Canis lupus familiaris: one gene and its partner. The protein of the gene in region 2 purifies or fractionates together with the protein of the main gene of each other region. This does not show direct contact. Links are inferred from orthologs where the notes say so. Each region holds a gene or a part of one and is shown on either strand. Other genes may lie near its edges. The genes, in order: TLE2 and CCT4.

Region 1 (3,802 bases), on a different chromosome or scaffold from region 2:
CAGCTTTCCTCCCAGCCGCTGTGTGTTCTTGGGCGAGCTACTGCCCGTCTCTGGACACCTGTCTCAATGTTCAGGGGAGGACGCGGGTGTAGGAAAGAGGAGGGAGGTTCTGAGCTGGGAAGGGGGCCCTATAAACTCCAGAGGGGTGCGCCCCTGGCACCACGAGCTACGGAACCCTCACCTTGTCTCCCCTCTCTCTTCGCCTCCCCTGCATCCTGCCAGTGGACAGAGCCCCAAGCAGGGTAAGTTGCAGGGCGCCCAGGAACTCGGGTGACATTCGCTTTGTACTCGCGGGTGGCTGGAGCCGGGGGTTCTGAGCTGATGGGGTCCTCAGAGCAAGACCCCGGGCAGCTCCTGGAGCCTTTTGCTGTGGGAGGTGCCCCTAAGGCTAGACTTCTTTTTATCAAAAGTTTGCCACCTTGAGCTTCTTTCTGCAATTGAATAAGTGAACGTGCAAGGAGTAGCCTCCACCCCCCCTTCCGTTCATCAACCGTCCGTCATCCAGCTGATGTTATCTATCAGAGCTGCTCTGTAGCCCTGTGTGTAATTTTTATTATTTCTAAATTGTTTTTCTTTTTTAAAAGATTTTATCTGGGATCCCTGGGTGGCGCAGCGGTTTGGCGCCTGCCTTTGGCCCAGGGCGCGATCCTGGAGACCCGGGATCAAATCCCACGTCGGGCTCCCGGTGCATGGAGCCTGCTTCTCCCTCTGCCTGTGTCTCTGCGTCTCTCTCTCTCTCTCTCTCTCTGTGTGTGTGTAACTATCATAAATAAATAAAAATTAAAAAAAATGTTAAAAAAAATCCTAAAAAAAAAAAAAGATTTTATCTATGTATTCACGAGAGACACAGAGAGAGGCAGAGACACAGGCAGTGGGAGAAGCAGGCTCCCTGCGGGGAGCCCGATGTGGGACTCGATCCTAGGACCCCAGGGTCATACAGATGGGGAGACTGAGTGCCAGGGAAGGAGCCGACTGCCTGAGGCCCACAGGCAGGTTGATGCTGCGGGAGGGGGATGCAGCTGACCCAGGCTTTGACCTTCGAAGGCCAGACCGTTGGCGCCTGTGGGCTGGCTTTGAGTCCTGTCTCAGCCCCTCCTTCACGGCACAGCCCTGCCTTCCCTTGGGCTCAGTTTCCCTGTCTGTATAATGGGATTAACCATCACCTCCCCCCACAAGCTTGCTGTGGGGGGTCAAGAACTGAGCATTGACTCTGCCCTCGGAAGGTCCCATTTCCCAGATGGGAAACTTGAGGCCCAGATCCCAATAACAGTGTTGGGGACCCTCGGGCTTGGCTGTGCCAGGATAGGGTCTGGGGCCTCGGGGCTCTGACCCTCTGTCCCATCTGGCCCTGTCTCTCTGCAGAGCGCATCCCCCTCACCCCCTGAGAGTGTGGTGGAAGAGGAGCGGCCCGGTGGCCCGGCCGGCAGCGGGAAGCAGCGCGCTGAGGACAAAGATCTGTCAGGACCTTATGTAAGTGGGGGGCAAGCAGAAGACTGGGGCAGGCCCCCAGCCCTGCTGTTCAGAGCCGACCAGAGCCGAGCTCTGGCCGTGACTCTCTCACTCCAGGGCCTTCCATAGCTCCCCTTTGCCCACGGAGCGCAGGGCAATCAGAAGACCCCTGCGGGCCGGGCCCAGCTCTAGTTGCTCTTGTGTCTGAAGCCCCTGGACCAGGCAGCGGGTGCCCCCCCTCCTGGATTTTGTTCCGGCCCGTGCAGCCCTCTGTGACTCCCCTTCCCCTGCCCCTCTAGGAGGCCCAGAATGCTCTGTCCTGCAGGAGGCTGGCCCTGGCCCCCCGCCCCCTCCAGGGCCGGGACCCCTCCCTCACTGTATGAGCCCCGCACCTGTAGTCTCTACCTCTGGCCCCCCCACCTCAGTGGAGGCTGGGGCTGTACCTGCGGGGGGAGCACTTGTTGCATCCGCAGGGCCAGCCTCACCCTGGTCCCGCTTGCCTGGCAGCCCCAGAGCCCGCAGGTCCTCCTCTGTTTCTCACAGATGCCTTTGCTCTTTAAGAATCGGAACAGTTTGTTCTATACACGTCAGCAACTCCTTTGGTTTTTAAAGAAGATAATTGGGGGTCGGTGGGGGGGGTGTCAGAGAAGCCCCTCCTGCTGGGAAGACGTGGGCTTCAGGCTGTACCTTCGGTCTTCCTGGCCTTTCTACTTGACACGGGGCAGCCCTGGACAACGCTGTTTCCCCCAAGGGCCGTGGGGGAGCCGCACAAGGAAGGAGAACTGATGTAGGGGCAGGCGTCAGGAGAAAATTCCTCTCGGGCAAGCTCGGAGGGCTGCCTGGAGGGGGCAAGCTGAAGGCCAGGAGCCTGAGGAAGGGCCAAGGCTATGGTTCTCCCCGCACTGCACAGAGCGGGGAAACTGAGACCTGGGGAGGGCCCCACAGCACGTCGTGGGCATGCAGCTCCACCCCCCTCACTTTTCTCCATAAGGGACTCCTGCCCCCTCCCCAACGCCCCCCTGGACCTGAGCAAATGGCAGCCTTTTTTCCGAACCAAGTACAGGGGCCTCTGGAGCCTCCAGAGCCCTGATCAGACCGGGGCTGGCCCTGTGTCCGCCCCCACTCCTGGGGATGAATAAGGGGATGTGGAGGCAGGGGCACGGCCACAGTAAGCTCTCTCCCTCTCCTCTGTGTCCCCCCCCAGGAGAGTGACGAAGACAAGAGTGACTACAACCTGGTGGTGGACGAGGTGAGTCGGGGTCCAGCCTCTGACTGCAGGGCCCAGAGGTCTGGGCACAGCGAGTGGCAGGTTTGGCAGAGTGTTGGGCGTGGAGGGAAGGGGGCGTCCTGGCCTCCTCTCGGTTCAGGGTGGCTGGGATGAGGGGACAGCCCGGGACAACCTCCCCTCCATAGCACAGGCCCTGAGAACCCTGGGGGGCGGGCAGTGGCTTCAAGCGCCCTCGCTGTGTGGTGGGGTGCTGTGCCCCCTCCCTGGCCTCACTGGCCCCCCAGTCAGGGGGGGACACCAAAAGCAAGCCCTGACGTAGACGTTGCCATGTGTGCTTATGGTGCAGGTACCCTCAATCCCATCAGACGGGGTGGATTGCAGGGGCCCAGCCTGGAGGGTGGGACGGGGTCTGGGGGGGTACAGGAATGGGCTCGCCCTCTTTACCCGCTTCCTCTCCACTTAACCTCACCTCCTCAAACCCAGGACCAGCCGTCGGAGCCCCCCAGCCCTGCCAGCACCCCGTGTGGAAAGGCCCCCATCTGCGTCCCTGCCCGTCGGGACCTCGTGGACAGTCCAGCCTCCTTGGCCTCAAGCCTCGGCTCGCCACTCCCCCGAGCCAAGGAGCTTGTCCTGGTAAGGAGTGGGGGAGGCCTGGAAACTCACTTCGTGCATCCTGGGGACCTGGAAACAGATGCTGACACCTGAGATGTGGAGGGGGGCGGAAACCGGCCCGGCCTGGGTGTCCAGAGGCTTGTCCTTCGTGGTTATTTGTCACCCTCCTAAAATCCGCCTCGACTTTGCCCAAGTACTTCTCCCGAGCGGACTGGCTCCGTCGGGCCTAAACACACACCAAATACATACACGTTCTCCATCTTCTGGGGAGACGGTTGCTTGCTTAAGTAGGGAGCCCCGGAAATAAGCCCAGTGACCATAGAATCCGGGCCCAGGGCTGACTCCCGCCCTGCAAGTGTTCCGGCCCCTGAGAGGCGCTGGAGGCGCAGCAGCCCCACCTGAGGTCCGGGCAGGAGGATTACTATGGGAACAACTTTCTCCGCGTAGGAAGCGCCCCGGCACCCACGCGGGGCTCCATCTGTCCCGCCCCCTCCCCCAAATCTTCCCGAGGCC
Region 2 (4,416 bases):
CATAATCATAATTCAGCTTTTTACCATTTTATCCATTCCTTTTGGTCCAAGGCTTGTTCTAATAGCATCAGCAACAGCTGTAAACAGAGGGAAAAAAATCAAGATGCTTAAAGCAAAGTGTTTCTCTTCTCAAATGATCATATCATTTGTCCTTATCAGGATATGATACACATTTACTGTGTCCATTAGAGAAAATTCATTATTTATTAAGAATATACTAGAAACTGATTTATTCTTTTTTGATTTGTTCTTACACTTTTGATTATAGGACACTTCACCTTTTGTTGTTAAAGTCACTATACAGAATACTGGCGCCCTACCTACGGCAGAATCAATTTTGAGGATTTACCTAACCCTTCTCTAGTACCAAAATAAGCACAATGACCTCTGAATGAAGGCTGTATTTTTCTCCATTCCTTAAAAGAACACAAGCAGCAACAGGGGAGGCAAGACTTCCTAATATACTATACTGTCTCCCCTAATTATAGATTGAATCTTTGAAGGCAAAGAGTTTTTTGTCCACCAATGTGAAGCTCGTCTAAAGATGGTCCACAGTAAAACATCCTTTGCCACCTTCTACCTTGCCACCAAATAAGCTCAAACAAACAAAAACCTCAAACCTTTACCCAAACCAAAATTTAGGTTTTAGTCATCAGTACATTATAAAACACCTCCGGATACACAGTCTACCATTCCAACGTTACATGTTCTTATTAATGCTCCTTAAGAGTGTTTATTAGTCCACTTAAGGGAAATTAGATTTGATGAACACTCAAGTCAAATCCCCTTTTGAGAAGCCCAGGACAAATAATTAGGCCTTCCCCTTCCTAAGATACCACCTCACTCAATATACACAGGGCTGAGATTGTGCCCTAATCATTGTAGACTCCACAACCAGCATCATACTCCCCCTCCCTTTATTGTGTAAATAATAAAGATCTTAACAAAATGAAAGTATTTGCTATAATTAAAAGTTATTCCCCTCCCTTTATTGTGTAAATAATAAAGATCTTAACAAAATGAAAGTATTTGCTATAATTAAAAGTTATTTTCCACTTAATTATTTCATAATTTTGGGCTTCTATTCCTAATTAACCAGGCAATATTATGCTTTCAGGCGATTTTAGTGGACCCACATGGCCCAGGTTCTACAAGCAGACCAACTCACTTTAAGATTGCCCTCACATTCGTCTACATGAAGTTAGGACAACGCACCCTAACCAAAAAATAAAGAAGGATTTTAGACTGCTTACATCTACAAAGGTGTCTGATTGCTACCATTCTGTGTGGCACACAGTAGGGTCTGTTACAGGACGCATGCCGAACAGTACCAGAACTAGTATTTCCTGTGTGTCTATATGGTTTTTACATGATCAATTTGGGGAGATGGGGGGGGGGGAGCACCATTTTGAGGTAACATTTAAATAAAAAACTGGCTCCCTGAATTAAACCAAAACTACACCTAAACGAAAGCAACTTTTCTTGACCAAGTTGGCTAGGTTTTGTCTGATTTGGAAAAAATTAGTTGTGCCCCTGAGTTCTCACTGAAAAGGTCATGTTCACAGATAATTCACCCGACCTCCGCTCACCAGGCCCTTCCAAAGGATTTCGCTCCATCCTGCCCTCCCGATCTCACTTCTCGCATCTTCATGCACTTTATTCTCTAACTGTAATGAAACTGGATTATAAGGCTCAATAAGCATCAGGTAAGATCTCTAGGCCTTTGTTCTCATTTTTCCTTCCAGACTCTTCTGTCTCAAATCAACTATACTTAATTCTCACAACTCTTAAAAAAAAAAAAAAAAAAAAAAAAAAGAAAAAAAAAGGGCAGCCCAGGTGGCTCAGCGGTTTAGCACCGCCTTCGGCCCAGGGCGTGACCCCGGGGTCCCGGGATCGAGTCCCACGTCGGGCTCCCTGCATGGGGCCTGCTTCTCCCTCTGCCTGTGTCTCTGCCCTTCTCTCTCTCTCTCGGTCCCTCATGAAATAAAAATAAAAATCTTAAAAAAAGAAAAAAAAGCGAGGGAACACCTTCCCAATTTTAGGGGTGAGGAAACGTTCGCCAGAGGTCGAAGGTCACAGAGCCACGAAGCAACGGTCACAGAGAACGGTAGCTCGGGTCTTCATCTCCATCATACTCCGACCTAGTCTGCAGAACAACACAGCGCCAACGCGCCGTCCACACTTCCAGGCCGGCGGGGCCCGGCTGCACACGCAGACTGGGCGGAAAAGCACAGCGGGCTTCCCGGGAGCTCCAGCCGGCAGCGAGGCCTCCCTCACAGCCCAAGACAAAGGGCGCCGCCCAACCGAGGCGCCAGCCCCCTTTCCATTAGTTGAGCCGAGAGCTTCTTTACGTGGTATCCTCGTAAGAACACCTGAAACCTAAACTGCATTTTGCAAAAGACGTTCTCGCAGGGGAACCGACGACAGCGCTGCCGCGGCAGGTGCCCAGGCCCGCCGTCTCCGGCAGCCCGAGGAACCGCCGAGGGCGAAAGGCTGCGGGCGTCAGGGCCCGGGCCTGGACCGGGCGGCGCCGGCGACCCCCACAGAGCGCAGCAAAGCTCGCCGCGGACCATCCCGGCAAACAGAAGAGGCGCTTTGGCAACCCAAGTCCGGGGCCGGAGCGCAGAGCTCGGCCCGCACGGCCTCGGGCCGGACGCCGCGAGCGGTACCTTTGGCCGCGGAGATGTTGCTGAAGCGGATCTGCGCCGGCTTGTCGCGGTCCTGGTAGGCGGTTTTGCTGCGGCCGCCGGCGGCTGCGGCGGGCGCCCCGCTCCGCGGAGCCGCGTTCTCGGGCATGGCCAACTCGGCGGGGTCTGCGCGGGCCTGGGAGGGACGGATGGACCCGGATTCCTGCCGGCCGCCGACGGACGGAACGCGCCCGCCGCCTTCACGAAGCTTCCAGAAAGCGGCGCGGGCGCCGGGAGGAGGGGGAGGCGGAGGCGGAGGCGGGGAGGGGGCCTATCGGGCGGCGTCGCGCCGACGTGACGTATAGGGCTGCCCGCCGCGCGCCGGGGGCCGGGGCCGGGGCCGGGGCGGGGGCTTTGTGTCCCGGGAGTGCTGGCCGCAGGGCCCGGGGGTGCAGGCGCGATGGGCAAGGGGAGGCGGGGGTCCCCTGCGAGGCAGGCCGGACACCCCGCGATTTTACAGGCGGGCGTTGGGCACCCACCTCGCGCGTTGCCCGGGCCTCCGCGGGCCGCGAGGTCCTTCCGTTAACGCGACGCGCCCGAGCCACGCACGGGGAGCCCAAGCCTTTCGGTCCAGTTACAATCGTTTAGTTGTTCTGTGCCAGGGGCATGGCTAAGACCTTGGGCCTTTGTATGTCCTTTAACCTTCACGATAAGTCCATGAAGTGGGCGCTCCCCCCCCCCCCCCCCGATCTGATAACGAAACACCAAGCCCCGGGTCAGCCTGTAAGTAGATTGAAACCGTATATTCCATGGAGAGCAACGACTCCCAGGTCATGAGTTAAACCGCCGGGCTCCTGTTAACACTTTTTATTAGGGACGTTCATAAGGCAGGGGTGCCTGGGATATATGGTCAAGGACGGGTTGTTGCAAAAAGCCCTTAACCCTGTGAGCGCTCGGGGCTTTTACACACCTTGAGGAGGTTAGCCCTAGAAGGTGAACCTTCCCAAGTGCTCTCTGGTCCACATGCCTTTGATGCTGGCTGTTTTTATTTTTTATGTTTTTGTTTTTACCTGGGTGGCTCAGTGGTTGAGCGTCCGCCTTTGGCTCAGGTCCTGATGCTTCGGTCCTGGGATCGAGTCCTGCATTGGGCTCCCAGTGGGGAGCCTGCCTCTCCCTCTGCCTGTGTCTCTGCCTCTCTGTCTCTCATGAATAAATAAATACAATAAAATAAGTAATAAAAAAATGAAAAGCTTTATTTATTTTAGAGCCTGCGTGTGAGAGCGAGCAGAGGGAGGGTCAGAGGGAGAGAGAATCTCTAGCAGAGGCCCTGCTGAGTGCAGAGCCCGCAGGAGGCTCCATCTTATGACCTGGGAGATCATGACCCAAGTGGAAACCAAGCTGATTTCGCTTTCAGAAAGAACCAGACTTCTATGATGTAGCTCATAAGTACCCTATAATTACTTGTTAAGACAACTGATGTGCAACAATGAATATAGCATTTATCTGGGGTGCAAAATCCTGGCTTGAATTCTGTTTTGCTACTTGTTAACTATGTGATTTTGGGCAAGTCATTTTAGTTCTCTGGGTCTCCTTTCCCTCACCTATATAATAGTAAGATTAAATTTCATGATCTCTAAAGGCTAGACTCTCCTAATTTTTTTTTAAAGATTTATTTATTCATGAGAGACACAGGGAGAGAGAGAGAGAGAGAGAGAGGCAGAGACACAGGCAGAGGGAGAAGCAGGCTCCCTGCAGGGAGCCGGATGTGGGACTCCATCCTGAGACCGTG

What was found.
Region 1: the proteins of CCT4 (region 2) and TLE2 purify together in Homo sapiens (affinity purification with mass spectrometry; 3 studies listed by BioGRID and IntAct, with this or other methods). This does not show direct contact. The link is inferred for Canis lupus familiaris from reciprocal best matches to the Homo sapiens genes CCT4 and TLE2.

The regions. Positions count from the first base shown.
Region 1 is NC_049241.1:56,615,363-56,619,164, forward strand, and holds part of TLE2 (transducin-like enhancer protein 2), read left to right. Parts: intron 1-181; exon of another isoform or gene 182-222; coding exon 223-242; exon of another isoform or gene 243-425; intron 426-1,362; coding exon 1,363-1,470; intron 1,471-1,825; exon of another isoform or gene 1,826-2,302; intron 2,303-2,653; coding exon 2,654-2,698; intron 2,699-3,160; coding exon 3,161-3,310; intron 3,311-3,340; exon of another isoform or gene 3,341-3,515; intron 3,516-3,802.
Region 2 is NC_049231.1:63,163,023-63,167,438, forward strand, and holds the start of CCT4 (T-complex protein 1 subunit delta), read right to left. Parts: upstream 2,910-4,416; 5' UTR 2,797-2,909; coding exon 2,670-2,796; intron 78-2,669; coding exon 25-77; intron 1-24. UniProt on the Homo sapiens protein: Component of the chaperonin-containing T-complex (TRiC), a molecular chaperone complex that assists the folding of actin, tubulin and other proteins upon ATP hydrolysis.